Linked DNA regions of Caenorhabditis elegans. The protein of the gene in region 2 purifies or fractionates together with the protein of the main gene of each other region. This does not show direct contact. Each region holds a gene or a part of one and is shown on either strand. Other genes may lie near its edges.

Region 1 (8,307 bases), on a different chromosome or scaffold from region 2:
TGAAGGCTAGCCTAAACTGACAAAAATGTCTCAACTCCTGTTATTCCCATTTTAAGAATTTTAAGATTAATGCTTCAAATATCGATATTTATTTTCAGACCAACAACCAACACAAAGCTCCGATGAACTTGCCAAAAATCACGAGAAAAACTAAATCAGTTCACATTCATTTTCTTTTATATCTCTTGCTTTTGCTTATATCCTGTAATGAATGCGTGCTTTATCCCAAATAAATATTAAATTGATAAGTATTTTTCTTTTAATTGCACCCGAATTTGGCGTTGGGCGAATCATTTTCGGAACAATGAAACCTTGAAGAAACATGTAACTAAAAAATCGTAATTCCAGTTGTAAATTTGCAAAACTAACTTTTTCGTTTTTCATCTTTTAAAAAAAAACTTTCATGTTCGTTTTTTAAATAATCCCAGCCCTGATCGGAATCACCTTCACAATAATAATCCTTTTAAAATATTGCCCGACCGGATTCCCCGGAAGAGCTATTCCAAAAATTGTTCACAATCGACACTCTCTTTCGAAAGATCGAAACTCCGAATTACCTTGGTAACTGGGTTAAAACCAAATTTGATAGAAAATGACGAGAAGGCCACTTAACGCGTGTACCGACAAAATGTGGGCGCGCGTACGGGACTATAAAACTGACACTGCGTGCGTCTGCTTCTATACAACCTTTGCAGCGGGTGAGATTGGCGCCCGGTTAGCTCAGTCGGTAGAGCACCAGACTCTTAATCTGGTTGTCGCGGGTTCGAGCCCCGCATTGGGCTTACGTTTTTGTTTTTTATTTCAGACTTTTTTATTTATGTCATGTCAGCATTTTAAGTCAGCATTTCGCCCTCTCACACTTATGAAATCAAAAACTGCAACCAAAAAAAAAACAATTTCTGAAAATGCAACGTTTATTATCATAATTTTCATGAAATCAAAATTAAATTCTTGAATCAGTCGATGTGTATGCGATTTTTAAATAAAACAGAAAAAAACAAGAAAGCGAGAGAAAGAGGGACGAGAATTCTTGGGACTAATCATGTGGGTAATGAAGAAAAAAAGACGAAATTGGGGCATTTTAAGGCTGAAAATAGCTAATTTCCAGTCTGAACATACCCAAAAGGAGGCTACACACGATATTTTAGAGCAATTGGAGCAAAATAAGAAGGTAATTCTAAAAAAATCTTAGGATTCTTTTTTTTTGAGATGATAGAATGGATTACATGTACTAGAAGAGTGGGGAGAAAGAAAACGTTAGACATGAAGAGCAAATAACTATAGAAACTTGGAAATTTCAAGATATTTAGAGATATTTGATTGAAATGGAGAAATAAGAGGAATAATAAATTATTAGTGATGAATAATTGGAATAGAAAATTTGATTTTTTTTGTTGGGTTTGTTGGTGAAGGTTAAAGATTTTTCAGAAAAAAAAAGAAAAAAAAAAAATAAACGAAATGATTAACAAAGGTGTGTGTAACAATCACAGTCGAGAGTCCGAGAAAAAACAAAAAAAGAAAGAGAAAATGGATCAGAAATTAAGGAAAAAAGTGCAGAAAAAAGAAAAAAAACGACTAAATTGACTTCTAGAAGACGTATTCCTCATCCGACGAGTTTGTCATGTCGATGGCCCAACGGAATTTCTCACGGTGAGTTTTGGTGAAGACCTGGAAATAAAATCGATTTTAATGGGGATCTAGAGTGTCGGTTTTTCTGAATTTATCGAAAAATAAAATTTGAATTTTGACCATTTGTCTTCTTATTTTTCCTCATTTATATGATCTTTCGGGTTTTTTTTCCCGAAAAATTTAACATTTTTCTGTTTTTTGATAAAAAATTTCGGAAAAAAGTGTTTTAGTACTGTGTACTACAGGGAATTGTGCATATTTTAAGGAGCGCTTCTCCTCATTAATCTCGTGTACTCCTAGAGGAAAACAATGCTTCATTTTAGACAATTTTCGCCAATTATTTCTGCATTCCACATTCAAATCTCCATTTTTATCGAATTTATTCAATTTCAGGTGGAATTTGGCGTTTTTATGATTGATTTTCTCAGAGAAACGTCATAAAAATTGATAAACTGATGATTTGAATGTTGATCCACCAAAAATCATTGGTTTTCCTCGAGGAGTACACGAGCAGCGTAAATCGACAAATGGTACTGTTTGGACAGTATTTTTGACGAAAAAATCACAAAATACCGCATCTCTTCAAAAACACGACATTGTGTCGATTTACGGAGGTCATATACTCTACGAGGAGAGTGTGCATTCAGTTTTTGGATAAATTTTGCAGTTTTCAATGCCTAATTTATGTTCCAAAACGAAGTATTTTCGACAAAAACTGTGTAGCCACACTCTTCCTCGTGGAGTACACGAGCTGCGTAAATCGACACAGTTTGTCCATTTTCCCCCGTGAATTCATTTCTCCGAAACTATCTCTCACCTTCTCCAACGGAACCTCAAACTTCTTGCACCAGGCGACAGTGATCCGAGGATCAATATAATTGAGTTTCGAAGTACCCAACGCGATCTGTTTGTTCTCATCCTTATCAGTTCTTGAGATTTTCAACTTTTTCAACTGCTCCTTCAGTCTGTCGTACTTCTTCTGGGCCTTCTCCTTTTCTGCTCCGCGAGCAGACTTCAGCGCGGCTTCGGCTTCCTTCACCTCCTTCTTTTTGTCCTTGATCTGGAAAAAAAACGAGATTAGTGAATAAATTTCATATTTTTTTCGCAACCTTTTGCTCCAACTTTTGCATCGACTCATCGAATCCCTTCGAAACGGCACGTTGATGGTTACAAAGGATCGCAACCTGCCGATTAGCACGATTGTATGACAGAATTTTTGCCGCCACATTGTCCTTGGGATTCGTCAGCTTTATCAGTTGCTCTTGAAGTGTGATCGAAGCATTATAGGTACGGAACACTTTTACCGTCAAACCATCCATCAAACTTCTCAAATGATCATTGAGTGTTGCAGTGTCGAGACGATCGAAAAGATCATCACTCGGAGCTTTTCCCTCCATGAATATCTTCAAATTCTTGTAGACTCGCTTCTCAACAGAAACTCGATTGAAATAACGAATCGAATCCTTTCCAAGAAAATCGAATTCCACAACAAACTCCTTTTCCTTCTTATCATCTTCATTCAGTTTCGCCGAATCGAAGAGCTTAATGTGCTCAACACGAAGTGAGCAACAACCAACAGTATCAGCAGCTTCATCTACATCCTTCTCATTTCCAGCACGAAGAGCCAACTTATCAATAAAATACAAAGCCGTAGCACGTTGTCGAACTCTCATCTCCTTCGACTTAAAATCGTCAGTATACCGCTCACGAATTCCACCAATCTTCTTTTTAAGTCGCCGCGCTGTTTCGTACTTTTCAAAGTCCTTTTCTCCTTTAATCTTTGAAGATGGATTAAGCATAATGTACTTATTCTGTCCGAGCACACTTTCAGTCCAAGAGCACAGCCACGTAACAGTATTGTCATGTCTCACTTCTTTCCATTTGTGCCCAGGTGGTGGTTTTGGAATTTCAGTGTCTTTTCCGCAATTTATGATGACATCCTCTGGCATGATACGCTTCTTGATAAGACCCATCTTCGGATGTCCACCTCTTCCACGGAACACTCCTGGAGGTTCAATTCGGAAATTTGCAACCTTTTGCCGATGACCATCAATTATTGCAATTCCATAAATCTTCACTTCCGCTTCCTTCTCCTCTTTAATCTTCAACTTTTCCTCTTTAGTCATCGCTTTGCGAATTTCCCGTTGCTCTTTTTGATAAGCATCGATAGCTCGAAAATCGCACTTTTTCAGATCATGTATACGTTCACGTTCCTCGACAGTCATCACTTTTCTCCAATCTTTCATAAAATTCTTGTTGAAAGCCTCTTTTGTCGAATACTCGTGATCCAGTACACCAGCATAAAATTGAGCAATTTCTTCCGTTTCAAGAGTCAGCTTCATCTTCTCTCCACCATATTTGAAATGAACATGAGATGGAAGTGGAATGTATGGTGGAGCGAATAGTGGTCCACAGTGTTGAAGGGAATTCCATTTAACACCTGCAGGCTTCTTTTCCTCTTTCCACCATTCCCATATATCTTCTATATCCTCCTCTTTCTTCACTTTCTTCTTTGGTGGCTCTTTTTTGCCGCCGGCGTCTTTCTTTGATGTACTTGGCTTGCTCTTTTCAGCTCCTTTTGACTTTCGTTTCTGCAAAAATAAATGATAAAATTATGATTCGTGCAAATTTAATTATTTAAAGTATCTCGTAGAAGGTTAGAAAACAGTTTTTGATTTTTTTTTTGAGAAAATATATTACTGGTGGGTAATTCAGGTTAGACGGAAGTGGTTTTTTTTGGATTAACTTTTAATTTTTTCGATTACATTAAAATTTCCGGAGCAGCATGTAATGTCGATTTACGCAGGCATCGTGTTCAATTTTTTGAGCAAAAAATCGTAAAATTTCCGATTTTTAGCCTAAAAATGATTAAACACCCAATTTTTCAGAAGAATTTGGCATAAAGTCTAAATATCCGAGAACTTCAGCTAAAAAACTAAATAAATTTAAATTCACACTTTTCCTCGTGTAGTACACAATTTCTGCGTAAACCGACACCATTTTTAGCTTGCAAATTAGTTTTTTGTGCAAAAAAAAGCGGGAAAAAGCATGCAAAATCAGGAAAATCCACATCAACAACACCTTTTTCTTCGCCTTTTCATCATCTTCATCATCCGAATCCTCGTCGTCCTCTTCCTTAATCTTCCGATTCTCCTTCTCCAGTCGTTTCTTCTCTTTTCGCTCTTTTTTCTCCCTTTTTTCCTTTTTTCTACGCTCTTTCTCCTTTCTCTTCTGTTCCTCTTCATCATCTGTCGTCGGAGCTTCGTCTTCTTCTTCTAGTTCATCGTCGGAATGGATCTAAAAAAGCAGAAAAAAACTAACGAAACAAAGGAAATGTTAAGGACGTGCAGAAAAGTAGGGTTAGAAGGGTTATTTTTCGCTAAATTCCATCTAAAATATGCTTATTAACACATATTATTACTATCTAATTGAAAATCTTGTAGAAATGCTGGTTCTTGCTCACATCGGTTTCACAAGGAATATGTACATCCAAACAATTCAAAATTGCGAGAAAATACCTAAATTTCAGCAATTTTAATGTAAAAATAGCAGAATTTTACGTATTTCTTGCATTTTTCAACTGTTTTGAGTTCACATAATCTTATAAAGCGAATAATTCTCTCTGCAACAAAGAAAATGGGAACTAGCTAATTTTTTTTCGTGGAGCAACTTTAAAACCAAATTTTGTGTTGAAAAACATAATTTGGATGAAATTTAGCAAAAAAAAAGTGAATTTTCATCGCCAAAAACCCGTGCAAATAGGTTATTTTGGAGGAAAAAATGTTATTAATTGCTACAAACCTGTGGCTTAACATCCTCTTCACTAACATCTCCTTCTGATTCTTCATCATCATCCTCACTACTCTCCTGAGCTTTTTTCTTATTATTTTTCTTGCTTTTCTTCTTTTCAGGCTTATAATCATCCTCAGAATCACTTCCAACATCCTTCTTTTTCCCATTTTTCGCCGAAGACTTTCTCTTCTCGGGCTTATAATCATCCTCATCTGATCCACTTTCAGCTTTCCTCTTCTTTTGTTTCTTTTCTTTTTTATCTCTTTTCATCAGTTCACCGAATGGAACTTCACTGTCTGATGCCATTGGCTCATCTTTCACCTCTTTTTTGATTTCATCGTTTCCGTTCGTATCGTAGACTGTTGAGTTGCCGTTTCCGTTCGAGTGATGATTCGACACTACACTCATCGTTTGAGCAAGTTTCTGATGATCCACGAGAGCTCTTTTGATTGATAAGATATCTTCGTAGAAGCTGTCGAATCAAATAGATGGAGTGTGTGAGTGTCGGAGAGATGATACTCTGCAAACATTTAAATGAGGAATTTTGAAAGAAATTGTGAAAAGGAAAGAGTATTTAGAGGTAAGAGAGACATATAGTAAGAAAATATCTCAAAAATTGATTCAATTTAGCTTAAACTTGAGCTTGTTACGATTGGAAAATTATTTTAATTTTATTACTACATAGAAGTTAAATTTTGCGCCAAAAAATACGGCGCCCGGATCCGACAAATTGCGCATTTAAAGAGTACTGTAATTTAAAACTCTCGTTGATTGTGGAATTTTCATCGATTTTGTTAAAGTTTTTCACGATTTGTTAAAATTCATGATTTTTTTGCTAATTTTTTTCGTAAATTTTGCGATTTTTCAGATCTTAATATATATTTTCAGAAATTTTCAAGCTGCCTCGTAATAAAATCTACTTTTTCAGGCTTAATTTGAACCTTTTCGGATATATTTTTCAAAAATCGACTTCGCCGAGAAAATTGATTCACTTAGCTCAAGATTCTAATCTTGACAAATTAGCAAAATAAATAAAACTTTAGATTTTTATCGCTCACAGTTGCTATATTAATGGCCAACGGAACGACGACCTTACGCACGCCGCGGCGGGTCCCACCACGAAATTTCACCAAGTCTTTTAGAATCGACTTTTGTGTGGTGAAACTTTCGTGGTAGGACCCGCCAGTGAGAACGATGATGGAGGACATTATGAATAAGAGTGTGTAAAACTAGTTGTTGTATGGTTAAAGTAGTGGATGCGATATAATAAGAGAGGCGAAGGATTGTAAAGTAATAGTGGAAAACAAATGAACATGATTGAAGAATTGGAGAAAATACGCAGAAATTGCAGGATTTCGAGGGAAAAAAAAGGTAAAATAGTTTTTTTTCTCGATTTAGAGTCAAAACACCAACATAATGTTTATGAATATCGGTTCTTTTTAATTTTGGTCCTATTTCAGCAGCAAAATCTGTAGAAACTTGGAGCTTATAAACAGAAAATATACCTACATCAGCAAAAAAACTATCGAAAAAATCCAAAAAGTTCTAGAAATCTCAAAAAATACATACGAATTAAGTCGCTCCGACACGGGCAAATTGATAAATTTTGAAAATTTCAACTACACATAGCCTTTTTTCTCAAATATTCATTTAAATTTGATACTTTGGGGGCATTTTGAGACAGAAATTCCAGCAAACTGAAGGGTTATATTCGTAAAACTCGGAACATTTCAGATTCGTCAAATCTACGAAAACCGAGGCCAGAAAATAACATCTCCTAATATTAAAAATTGACTTTTGACACCAACTAAATCATCATTTTTCAAATCAATAATTCTCAAAGTCCCTCAAAAAATACTCATCCAACTTTCTTCCATCTACTGAATCCATCCTCCTAGCACGAAGGTCATCTGCACTATTTACACCCGGTGTGCACTTTCCGTCGCCTGCTCCCTTCTCTCTCACGGGCGGCATCATATCTCTCGCTTCTCTGCGTCACTTTGGCGCCCGGTGCCCGCGAATGATGTATGTGCTCCTTGTGCCATAAGAGGGCTGATTTAAGATCTGAGCAGAGGGAGAAAGAGAGAGAGGAAACGACCACGCAAAAGCTAGAATCTCTAATTCAACACGGCTTCTGATTGCTCAATGATTCATCAAAAGAGGGAGCAGGGTTCAATTTTGCTGTTCAAGGCCGGAGATTCGAGTTTTGCAGCTGCAATGGCGATTTTTTGAACGAGAAAACCACAGTGAACCCCTTAAAATTTTTTTATCCACAGAAGAAACTAGTATATGCCCGAAATTCGAAGAAAAATATTCAAAAAAAAGCACATGGATTCGCAATTTTAATTCTTTCGAGGTAGAATCACAAAAAATATGTTTTTTTTTTCAGAAAAAAAAATGTTTAAAAAGTATGCCTCTGTATTTATGAAATTAGCGAAAATACTTGAACCTGTCTAGTCTGAATTGTTTGCTGTGTCATCTTGACCCAAGTGCACACACACACTCGTACAGTGGCGAATCAATGAGAATGACATACTTTTGAATTTAAAAAGATGAAATATGTAGATTATAACACCAGAAGACGAAGAGTTAAACCGAAAATGAGGAAAGGAACACAAATTCATATTTAAAAAATGAGGTATTTTACGATTAAATAAGTAATTCGCTTCAAATAGGTTTTCAAGAATCTTAGAAATATATTGCTCCACATACCGCGTTCTCACTGTGCTAAATTTCATCATAATTAATAATTAACACAAAACACAAAAATTACGCGGTTTTTGGGTAAATTTGTACATTTCGGCATCAAAATCGCACCAGAAAATTCAATTTCACCTACGAAAATCATCGAAAATCACTCAAAATTCATTACAAGCAACAGGATTT
Region 2 (7,009 bases):
AATCTCTAGACAGACCTCTGGATATTTCCGATAATTCTATAATAAAAAGTATTTCCTTACCTGTGGCAATTTAAGTTCAATATCTGCCCATGCTCCATATGCAATCCAAGCTTCCTCGTCATCGTCCAACTCAGAAACAAGCCTCTCGTGAGCCATTTTTATTCTACTAGGAATTCCACTCTTCTTCTCGTGATCAAAAAACTGTTTCAGACCTTGCTTTTTGGTTTCTTCCTGTTGAATGAGCTCCTCGAACTTTGACAATTGTTCCTTCTGTCGCATTGTTGAATTATATGTCTTTTTCAGTTCTTCGAGTTTATGATGTTGTTTGAATTCTGTGCAGAATTGTTCAGCTAAAACATAAACATCTTCGAGCTGATCTGTTGGGCAATGAAGGGCTCTCTCGAACAGAGCGAAAACTTGATCAGCGAGTCGTTGATAGTCAGGAGCATTCATAGAATCTGAAAATTATAAATTGTTGATGAAAGTACAGTAGTAAGCTCACTTTTCAGGTAGCTCATTTCATATTCCAGAAAAATCAGCCAAATGTGCCCTCCAGAATCGTACCGAGTTCCAAGGTTTTCAAGAGCTTTGCTACAAACCTGTAAAATTATAATAATTACATTTTTCAATCAAAACTTACATCTCGGCAAAACTTGAAATCCTCTTTTTTGTTTTTGTCGTTCGCAACCTTATATGCGTACATTGCTCTTTCGACCCAAATAGTGACATCGTTCTCATCAAACAGAGCTTTTTCAAACATTTCCTCGACTTCTGCGACACTTGGCTCCGGTTTTCTGTTTTGAAAATCTCTGAAATCAGTTTTTAAAAAATTATAATTAACCTATTTTTTTTAACTTACTCAATCCAGTTTTTCCAATTTAATGGATTAAGTGGGGCCCATTCGACAAATTGCCTCCTTTTGATATCAAGCTCGTCGAAGTCACCATTTTTTCGCAATAAAATCAATAATTGGTTTGCAAGAACGACACTTTGACTATCGTCGATCATCTGAAATTGTATTTTGTGTATATGAAGTATATTCGATAATTAGTTCATACCTTTTGCTTGATTTTTTGAATTTCTTCATCCAGATCCTCCATTCCGGAATCATCCGAGCCGGATTCCATATCCACATCGGACATCTTGCAGAATTTTGATGGAAACTGATACAAAAACAATAAATATTAAAATAAGAGAGAAACAGTGCAGAAAAAGCACGGAAATAACGTTTCGAATGCAAAAGTGCGATAGAGCGCGAAAGAAACGGATTTTTTAGAAGAAAAAATATTTTCTCTCCGTATTAAAATATAGTTAGCCAGAATCAAACTGATAAAAAAACAACAAAAAATTCAAATCCATGCAAGCTTTATAGAAATAATCACGGGTAATACTTATGCAATAAATAAAATTTTGCAATCCATAAGCTGAATGAATATTTACAACAGAAATGAAATGTGTGCGGGTGAGGAATGATAATATTGTACATAAAGGCTGGAATAATAGTTTTGAAGATTATTTTTCATTCAATCCGAACAGCATCTTGATATCTGCCGTCGTCAATTTGTTCATCTTGCGAGTAGCATTTCCGTCGAGAACAGACGAAGCTAGCGCGACTTTGTCCTTTTGCAGCATTACAACTCGTTGTTCGATCGTTCCTTTCGTAACCAATCTGCAAGATTAACACACATATTATGAATTTAATTTTCTTGCCGCAATCAACGAACCTATGAATGAAAACATCCTTCTTCTGCCCCATTCGATAAATTCTATCGAAAGCTTGCTGTTCGAGAGCCGGATTCCAATGCAAATCCACCATCACTAAATGATTTCCACCTGTCAGATTGAGCCCAACACCTCCCGCGGCCAGAGAGAGAAGCATAACTCGAGCACCACCTTTCTCCCGATTAAAGCTGTCCACTCTCTCTTGACGATCCTTGACCAGAACTTGTCCGGTAATTGATGTATATTTGAAACCACTTGATTTTATGTGAATTTCGATCAAATTGAGAACCGATGTCCATTGAGAAACAATGACACTGAAAAACATAAATTTGAATTTATTTTCAACTTGGTGAAAACATACACTTTCTCTTTCTTCTCCATAATGTTCTCAACAATTTCAAGTGTATTTTTAATTTTACAGCTCAGGTAGTCCGGATCGAAAATTCGTGTTGTAGCCCTCGGTTTGTCTCTTTCTTCATTGTCACCATTTCCCAACGTCATGTTCATAGTTTTCTCCAGTAACTCATTCAAATCGTCCACATTCGCTTCCTCCGCATTGTCTCCACCGATTAAGCTGAAAGCGTCCATGTCGACTCCTGTTTTTGTGATATTGAAATGAACACAAGCTTGTCGAAGACGAAGAAGAAGCATCAAAACACATGACATCTTTTCGAAGTTCGAGCCGGCTGCCAAATCACGTGGACCAACTGAAAATATTCAATATTAATTTTTTAAACATCACAGATTCTTACAATTGAAAGGATTCTGAACTTCTCCTTCCTTTCCTGCTCTTCTATTGCGACGAGGAATAAATCCATGATTTTTCATATCATTGGAATCTTGCAGAAGTTTTTTGACGAATTTTCTGAAAATTTGTTTTATGATTTTCGCCAATGTTACAAGTGAGTCACTCACTTGGCAGCCTCCATCATAATCTCATAAGCCTGTGCTTCATCTCCGTCCAACTCCAATTCGTGGACTTCTACATTTTTCGGTGGTAACTGAACTAGTTTCTGGTTTGTCACAGCACATGTTTGATCCTTTGTACGACGAAGAAGCAGGTTCTTTGTGAGCAAATTTACGCGATCAGCCATTATTGGTTTCATTGGCATGATCGATTCTTTCCAATATTTATCGTCACTGAATGGACGAATACGCAAGAATCGAACGAGACTGTAAAGATCCCAGAGATTGTTATGGATCGGAGTTCCAGAAAGGCACCATCGAGAGAATGCTGATAAACGACAGACAGCTTTCGAAGCAAGAGACTGCCGATTTTTGATGGTATGCGCCTCGTCAAGAATGACTCGAGACCAACAGATCTGAGCAAGAACGGAGTCGTCTTTTCCAACTGCTCTACGAATTCCAGTATGATTTGAATCCGATTCACCGTCAGATGAATCATCTGCTTTTGATTTAGTCCTTATTTTTTCGATTAATTCATTTGCGATAAGATTGAACGTGGTGATGACGACATCGTATCGAGCAAGACGTCTTGCATCGATGTCCCTCTGCTTTTTTGTGCCATGAAACATGTATGTCGATAGAACGCTGTCATCTAGTCTTCTATCGATTTCAGCATCCCATTGATGAATCAAACTTGCAGGAGCAACAATCAATGTTCCATTCGACGGAATTAGTCCTTGCTCTTTTACCACTTTACGTTTTTCTTTGTCTTTATCGTCATTTCCATCTTCTCTGCGAGCTCTACGAGCAGCTTTTTGATGGGCGATGAGAGAAATCATCGAAAGCGTCTTTCCTAAACCCATATCATCCGCAAGAATTCCACCAGGCTGTGGTTGAGTTTCTCTCCAACGCATCCAGGTTAGGCCTGCCTTTTGATGTGGCATCAGTTCAAGTTTGAATCCTTTCGGAGTGTCCGTGAGCTCAGTTTCATCGGGGATTGTGTGAGTGGCCCTGAAAGAGGATACACATTTTCACACAGCTTCGAGAAAAAGTTAAACAAGACTTACTCAGCAAGTTGTCGAACTACTCGATCAGAAACGAGTTGTATGCGTTTGTATTTTTCATCGGTCATCTTTCCAGACATCATTTTCTTGTTGTCCTTCTCCAACATGGCATTGAAGTCTGGCTGAGGAGCTTTGAGAGGATCCACGATATGTCTTTTTGGCAACAAACCATTTTGAGTCATGACAGATCCGGAAGGGAACTTTGGAGCCACCTGTCGATGACTCGGTTCATCATCTTCAATCACGAAGATTTCATCATCCTCATCATCGTCGACGATCTCTTCAGCAAGTCCCATTTCTTTTCTTCTCTCCACTTCATCATCAAGCTCTTGAAATTGTTTAATTACCCGTCTGCCACCATCAGGTAGATCTAATGATAACGAAATTAATCCCATAACTTTATTCTTTTTCGCCAAAAGCTCTTTGTAGGAAAGCTTCGCGTACTCCGAGTTAATTGGCGAAGTTGGCAGTCGTGGACGTTGTGGCTCTGGTGGTCTCGATGAAGTTGTTTTTACTGGTGTTACATCAATAATGTCGCTATCATCCAAGTTAATGGCAATCCCTGATTTCCGTTTTTCATTCGAAACAACTTTCTCTGGAGTCACTTCGATAATGTCACTATCATCTTGTTTAGCCGTTGTTCGAGGTGCAGGAAATGATTCATCAACTATTTCTTCTCTTCCGCCAATATCGTTTATTGCCGTGGAAGTAGCTACTTTCTGGACATTCTGAAATTTATTATATTAATCGCCAATATGAAATTGAATTCAAACACTACCAAAAATGTGCTCGAGTTATATTCTGATGAACGGCGATCACTTTTAGCAATAGGAGAAAGAGCTGTTTCAAAAAGTCCAGTGGAAACTTCTGGTGATTTCTTGACGTCAGCAGACGATCCCCATCCACCTCCAGATGCAGCTCTCGTTGGCGAACTATCCTCGGCATTTTGCTTCAATGATTTGCGGAGGAGACGTTCACGAAGCTGAGCTTTTGATCGCAGATCAGTGGATTCCGCCAGTTTTTTGCTGATTGGAGTCAGTGGCTTGTTCTCGTCATATTGTACAAAACTCCGACTGCGATCATGGCTCTCGTGGTTTTGCGAGGAGCTTCTGGAACTTCCATATGAAGAACCGAGTCTCGTTGAAGCATTCGATTTGGATTTTGGCGTCGAAGTGGCGAAGCTATTTGTGCAATGCGATGCTGTTGAAGATGGTGTATTGACAATAGGCGAATTTACAGATTTCATCGACTCATCGACAACTGAATCTTCCTGGTCGTCACTTTCTTTTGACTGGCGTTGAGGACTGGATCGGCAGATGAAGTCATCGATCTGAAATTAGTCCTCAGTTAACGTTTTAAAAATAAAAACCCACTTTCTCATCTGATTGAGAATCGTCTGAAGATGTATCAAACATTATTCTTGTTCGACGTGGCGAACTCATCCTGAAAGAAATCAGAATTAAAATTACTTTTACAATATATATCTAGTAAAGAAACAAACGGTCACGAATTTAGTCCAACTTTGAAAAGAATATGTACTCAGAACTCAACGTTTGAAAATGGCGGTGAAATTGGAACACAAATGGCCGAGGAAAACTAACATTTTCTGCCACATAAAATGAAGATATTTGTTTCAAAACAGAAAACGGTATCGCAGATGCGTTAATAATTAAAATAAACATTCAAATTTACCATGTTTGAACTAATTTTGATCAAGAATTTGTTTGAAAATAGAAAAATACAAGAGCGTTTCAAGCAAGAGCACGAGAGAGAGACAAATAATTTTTTCGCGCGCGCGCGCCGTGAATAACAAACGTGGTACTGTAATCGTTGCGAGACCTCCGACTCCAATAGCATAATGTTCCTACATGTTTTTCACTGGAACATTTTATTTTTAATTTAAATTAAATAAATAAATAATTAATATTAAATCGCAATTTTACGCTGAATGAAAATAATACGGAAGTTTTTATCAGATCATCAATTTTAATTCATACTTTGGGCTCGAGTTATTTCCCAAATTGTGATTGAACAGGTTTCGTATCTGAATCCTGCAACTTTCAGTACATCAGATACGATTTTCAAGCAGCGACACCTCAGTTTATGGATCCTGAATGTGCCTTTCATAAATTTCATAATACTATTTCAATAATAAATTCATAATACTAATGTAATACTAATTTCATAATACTAATGTATAGAGGCGCATTAAAACAAATAAGTATTGGGCCGAAACCTTTTTTATAAATCTGCGAACTTCTGACGAATTTGTAGTTCGGTTCTCCGGGCCTTCAAAATGATACAAAAAACAAATAAAGAAAACAATTTTATTTTACACAAGGACTGGATTTATGCATTTGTGGCCCTAAAGAGGGCCGTTGGGTTCGGTTAAGTTTTGAGATTAAGCTTGCTCAACTACCAAAAAAGGTATTTAAGCGCGCTCTCCTCGGATGCGTCTGGCCAATTGGATATCCTTTGGCATGATGGTGACTCGCTTAGCGTGGATGGCACACAAGTTGGTGTCCTCGAAGAGTCCGACAAGGTAAGCCTCGGCAGCCTCCTGAAGAGCCATGACAGCGGAAGATTGGAATCGAAGATCGGTCTTGAAATCCTGAGCAATCTCACGAACAAGGCGCTGGAATGGTGCTCTGCGGATTAGAAGTTCGGTTGATTTCTGGTAACGTCTGATCTCACGAAGAGCGACGGTTCCTGGGCGATAACGATGTGGTTTCTTGACTCCTCCGGAAGCTGGAGCCGATTTGCGGGCAGCTTTGGTGGCCAATTGCTTTCTTGGAGCCTTTCCTCCGGTCGATTTACGGGCGGTTTGCTTGGTACGAGCCATTGCGTTTAGGTTGATAATCCGTGGGGACTGTAAAAAAGAGAAACCAACGACTGACTTTGTACGCAGCTGCGGTGGGAGGGCGGGCGGGCGCACTTCTGTCCTTGTGGCAATTAGAACATTCGGTGTGTTACAGACAAAGGAAAGGTGTCCTCGCAGAGTGGTGCAATGTGACTCCGCCTAGCCACCACAGCTGTGTACAAAAGGAATACTGTGATGTCATTTCTTCATCTCACTTGTGAGTCTTCAACGAATTCAACAATGTCCGGACGTGGAAAGGGAGGAAAAGGCCTTGGAAAAGGTGGTGCCAAGCGCCATCGCAAAGTTCTCCGTGATAACATCCAAGGTATCACCAAGCCAGCCATTCGCCGTCTCGCCAGAAGAGGAGGAGTCAAGAGAATCTCCGGATTGATCTACGAGGAAACCCGTGGAGTCTTGAAGGTGTTCCTTGAGAACGTCATCCGTGATGCTGTCACCT
Region 3 (4,506 bases), on a different chromosome or scaffold from region 2:
ACCTGTCCCAACTTGAAAGAAAGAGTGGTGTTCTTGAATGTGGAGTATTGGTTGGAATACCACAAATCTCCTTCGACCTTGATTTCCAAAGTTGGCTTCAAGTTGGCAGCAGCCTTACGAGTGATCAATCCAACTCCAACCTCCTTCATGTACTCCTCGAAGTTCTCTGAGTGAATGAGCTTCCAGCGTCCAACGAATTCTTGAGACATGGTGATGGTTCTGTAAATAGAAGAAGTTGGAAAAGCAGGTAAAAAGTTCAATAGATTAACGGATATGTAATAGGTCTGAATAAAACGTTAGTCTGAAATTATGGTTAAAAAATCTTATTTTAAAAATTAATTTTAGAAGATGAACTATCATATCACTTGCAAATGGAAATAAAAGAAAAGTTGCAAATCAACAAGAAAACGAATGGCAATGCCTTGGGAAATCATTCGTATTTAGGTGGTCTGATAAATGGAATGATAGGGGGCAAGAGTGGGCGGAGATTCAAAACGTTTTCTCTATTTCTGTCTCCTCTATTTTTCGTTTCGTTTTTTTTTGAAGAATGATTCATTTTTTGATTCGTTGCATCATTTTTGAAAAATAAAAATAGAAAAGAGGAAAAGTGAGGAATTTTCAGTCGAATAAAAACAAAAATATTATCAAAAAAATTCTGAAATTTCTGAGGAGGAAAATATCGTTTTTGATTAAAGTATATCTAAGTTTTAATTTTTTTTAAATTTATTTTTTTTTGAGGTAAAAAACTAGTATCTTGTACATATATAGAAGCCCATTTTCAAATTGTGAAACTTAAACAATCTTCTTTTTTTTAAAATAAAGTAAAAATGCATTTTAAACAAAAAAATTTATTGGCAATGTTGTTTCAAAATTAACATATACATACTTTAATTCTGTAATTAAATTAAATGTTGAATCTCATCATAAATTGTGAGCACAAGAGCACCTCCAGTTGCTCGGAATACATTTGAAAGACCTCCTTTGTATAATGCAGTAATTCCTTCATTCTTCACAATCTTTCTAACACAATCCAAAGTGTTTTTATAGAGAATATCCTTTCTCCCTGATTGCATCATCATTCGACGACGTACTGTATCCCATGGATATGATAAATATCCAGAACCAACTGTTCCAACTTGAGCAATTGCCCATGTCGTAAAGAAATTGAGTTTTTGCCCGTCAGTTGAGTACAATGTTTTGGCAGTATCAAACATTCCGAAATATGCTGCACGATAAATTATAATTCCTTGTACTGAAACAAAAAATCCTCTATAAAGACCAATTGGTCCATCTGATTTCACAATTTTCACAAAACAATCCGTTAGACCTTGAAACTCTCTATCCACTCCTTTTCCAACATCGGCTCCAAGACGAGTACGCACAAAATCCAGTGGGTACACGAAGCATAGAGATGTTGCACCAGCTGCTCCACCAGAAGCGAGATTTCCAGCAAAGAATTTCCAGAATTCTTTATTCTTGTCAATTCCTTCTTGAAACATCTTCTTATAAGTGTCTTTGAATGCAAAATTCAGCGCTTGCGTTGGAAAATATCGAAGCACATTTGCAAGGTTTCCTCTCCAAAATGCTGCATATCCTTGTTCTTTTGGCACTCTAGCAAGAACATCCATAATTCCTTTATATTTTTTATCGGCAGTTACTGTTTCAGAGACATCACTGACTTGAAGTAGAAGCTTTACACGTTCAATTGGAGCAACGGCAGTTTTTGAGATTGCTGCAGCAGTGCCTCCGGAGGCGAGATCAACAAGAAACTTTCGATAATCAAATCCTTCCTTTGTGGTCATTTTGTCCTTCTGGAATGTTTTTTTTCAGAGATTATATTTCCTGAATGCTGATAATAAAACTTTCTTCAAATGCGAGTAGGAAGGAGCTCACTAGACTCTTCTCAAAATTTTGGTCATGAAAGTCTAATCAATATAAAGAATAAAATTAATTTAAAAAAAAAGAAAAATCTAAAACAAAAGTGTTTCTTTAAAAATTGTTGAAACTAATGAAAAATTTTACGGAAAATAAACAAGGCCTTTTTTAACAGAGACAGAGAAAAGAAAAGGGTTTCTGGTCCTTTAAAACGTCACTCTGCGTAAACAAAAACACTATTTTTCGCTATTTATTGCATCAAAGACCGAACAAAACAAGAACAATATTCAAAATAATCTATTCACGAATATAGGCACGACGAGAGATAACTGATCCAGATTGGAGAGTTGTGATGAGCTTTTCTCCTTCAAACCAACGAGTGATTACAGAATCATGATCTGAATCCTTAATCCTTTTTTGAACATGAACTACTTTTCCATCTTCAATTGTGATGGTTGACTTGAATTGACGACCGTCTGGTGTTGTCTCGTCGAATTCCTAAAAAACACTATTTTTTTAAATGGTAAATTATAACAGTCAATTTAAAAACTGAACTTTAATGGAATGAAAACCGGGAGTTGTTTTTCATGTAGCCGACACATTTAAAGATCGTAACTAATTCGAAAAAAAAATATTTTGTTAGATTTAATATGATTCTTTTTTTGATTTCAAATGTTCGTTTAGAGTTCGCAATTGAATTTTCCATAGACCTATTCTGAAAGACATAAACATTAGATTATTTCTTCATGCCACAAAGTGTATCTATGTTAATAGAACACCCGTTTGTTGTGTGTAGTGTTCAAATGGATACAAAGTTCAGTTGTTCTTTATTCTCATTTTTTTGTTTACACTGAAAACCACGTGTACCTTCCTGCACTTTGACCCACTAGTTTGAGTCTTATCAGTGTTTGCTAGAGTTTCGAGAAAGGCATTTGAAAGTTTTTAAATGGGAAAGAAAATAACTAACGAAAAAGCCATATAGTTGTTGAGTTCTATTCTCGTTTCCTTTTTTCAAAATTTCACTTACCACTCCCAGAGTGAACTCCAATGTGGTGTTCTTGAAGGTGCTAAGTTGATTGACATGCCACTTGTTTCCATTCACTTTGATCTCTAAAGTTGGTTTTGCAGCACACGCGGCTTTACGAAGAAGAAGACCAACCCCAACTTCTTTCAGGTAATCCTCGAAATTCTCGGATTCGACAAGCTTCCAACGACCCACAAATTGTTCAGCAGACATTCTGAAAATTTGGAAATTTACAATTTTGATAAAGAAGTACCAGAATAATAATAAAGGGAATTAAATGAAAAACGAATAAGTATTAAGAAATTCTGGATGATTTATTTCTGCTTTTAGAAAATTGCCTATGATTCTTTTGGATTCGTATTATTAAATTTATAGTTTCTAATGACAAAAATAAAAAATGTAATGCATTGCAATAAGGAATATTAATACAAAAAGCAGGAGAAAGTGGTTTAGATGAGTGAAAACCAGAAAAACGTATATATAGTAAATAGGACACAAGGGGGAGTGTACTGAAACTGCTGCCACGTTGTATTGGGTGATGGACAAGTTGGTCAATTTTTGGACGGTTTTGAACTGATAACATGGAATACACTAAGATGGAGTGTAGTATGTACATGGTGAATCACGATTAATAGTACTTTTTAAACTTTTGACATATAGTGTCGTTCAAAAGTAGATACAATGCGATCTCGTTTTTTTTTTTACAATTTTTGACATTTTTTTAATTGAGCATAACACCAAAACGCTACTTTTAACGTGGAAGAGATGGCGGGCAACAAGGTTAAACGATGGCCAATGTAGGTTTTCGATTAAAAAAATATTTTCCAGAACTATATGTCAAGATGTACCATAACGGATTGATCTACTATAAATGCGGGAATTTTTCGCAAGAAGCTTTTAAATATTTGAGTGTTTATACAGTATTTGTTATACAAAAAACAAAAAAAAATCAAAATTGTGACTTTTCTCTGACTTTACTGTGTCCGTTTATGTGTGAGTCAATCGAAAATGTTTGTTCAAGTTTTGAAACCGACTTATTTGACAACTATGACGTTGCGAAAACCAACATTAATTTAAAAAAATATTGGGGGACCACTGCTTTTCAGGGCACATTTTCAGTTTTCCCATACCTAGTTTTAGAAATATGATAACATTCACTGAAAATTTGGAAAGATGAGTGGAGTAAGGTAGAATTCACCAGAAAAACAGTTTGTATGTAGATATTTTGTATCGATTTCGTAGTTGATATAATCTTAGTGAGATTTGGAAAAAGAAGGAAATATAATTTCTACTTCAATTGAAAATTGGGTGTCTAAGTGGCATGACGAGACAATACAGCAGTAAATGGTAAACTGTAAAAGCCGCAATTAGTAAACAAAACCAGATTTTTTTCTCAAGTTTTCAAATCGAAACATCTCAACTTTACACAAATGTATTTCAATCAACAAAAGTATACCTCTTTTCATTTGAATGACCTCGATATGAGAGTGATACAATCTCCTCTCACCCTGTTTCTAAAAGAAGAGCGCTATTTATCTGACTGAGAATCGGCCCTAGACACTGTCTGACGGGACACAGAGGAACATTCAAATTAAGGTGATTTTAGA

The links. The genes of interacting proteins can lie anywhere in the genome.
Region 1: the proteins of F54E12.2 (region 2) and top-1 fractionate together in Caenorhabditis elegans (co-fractionation; one large-scale study listed by BioGRID). This does not show direct contact.
Region 3: the proteins of F54E12.2 (region 2) and ant-1.2 fractionate together in Caenorhabditis elegans (co-fractionation; one large-scale study listed by BioGRID). This does not show direct contact.

Annotation. Positions count from the first base shown.
Region 1 is NC_003279.8:13,290,148-13,298,454, reverse strand, and holds top-1 (DNA topoisomerase 1), read right to left. Parts: upstream 5,944-8,307; 5' UTR 5,830-5,943; coding exon 5,431-5,829; intron 4,927-5,430; coding exon 4,711-4,926; intron 4,221-4,710; coding exon 2,739-4,220; intron 2,690-2,738; coding exon 2,447-2,689; intron 1,669-2,446; coding exon 1,588-1,668; 3' UTR 900-1,587; downstream 1-899. Other genes in the region: Protein sepa-1, read left to right, coding at 99-154. UniProt on the Caenorhabditis elegans protein: Releases the supercoiling and torsional tension of DNA introduced during the DNA replication and transcription by transiently cleaving and rejoining one strand of the DNA duplex.
Region 2 is NC_003282.8:11,331,730-11,338,738, forward strand, and holds F54E12.2 (Transcription termination factor 2), read right to left. Parts: upstream 5,136-7,009; 5' UTR 5,135-5,135; coding exon 5,066-5,134; intron 5,023-5,065; coding exon 4,471-5,022; intron 4,421-4,470; coding exon 3,696-4,420; intron 3,640-3,695; coding exon 2,638-3,639; intron 2,588-2,637; coding exon 2,475-2,587; intron 2,430-2,474; coding exon 2,084-2,429; intron 2,037-2,083; coding exon 1,725-2,036; intron 1,670-1,724; coding exon 1,513-1,669; 3' UTR 1,351-1,512; downstream 1-1,350. Other genes in the region: sart-3 (Spliceosome associated factor 3, U4/U6 recycling protein), read right to left, coding at 61-458, 503-599, 641-809, 860-1,008, 1,059-1,142; his-55 (Histone H3), read right to left, coding at 6,124-6,534; his-56 (Histone H4), read left to right, coding at 6,793-7,009.
Region 3 is NC_003279.8:6,729,158-6,733,663, forward strand, and holds ant-1.2 (ADP/ATP translocase), read right to left. Parts: upstream 1,803-4,506; coding exon 900-1,802; downstream 1-899. Other genes in the region: lbp-6 (Fatty acid-binding protein homolog 6), read right to left, coding at 3-209; lbp-5 (Fatty acid-binding protein homolog 5), read right to left, coding at 2,173-2,373, 2,903-3,112.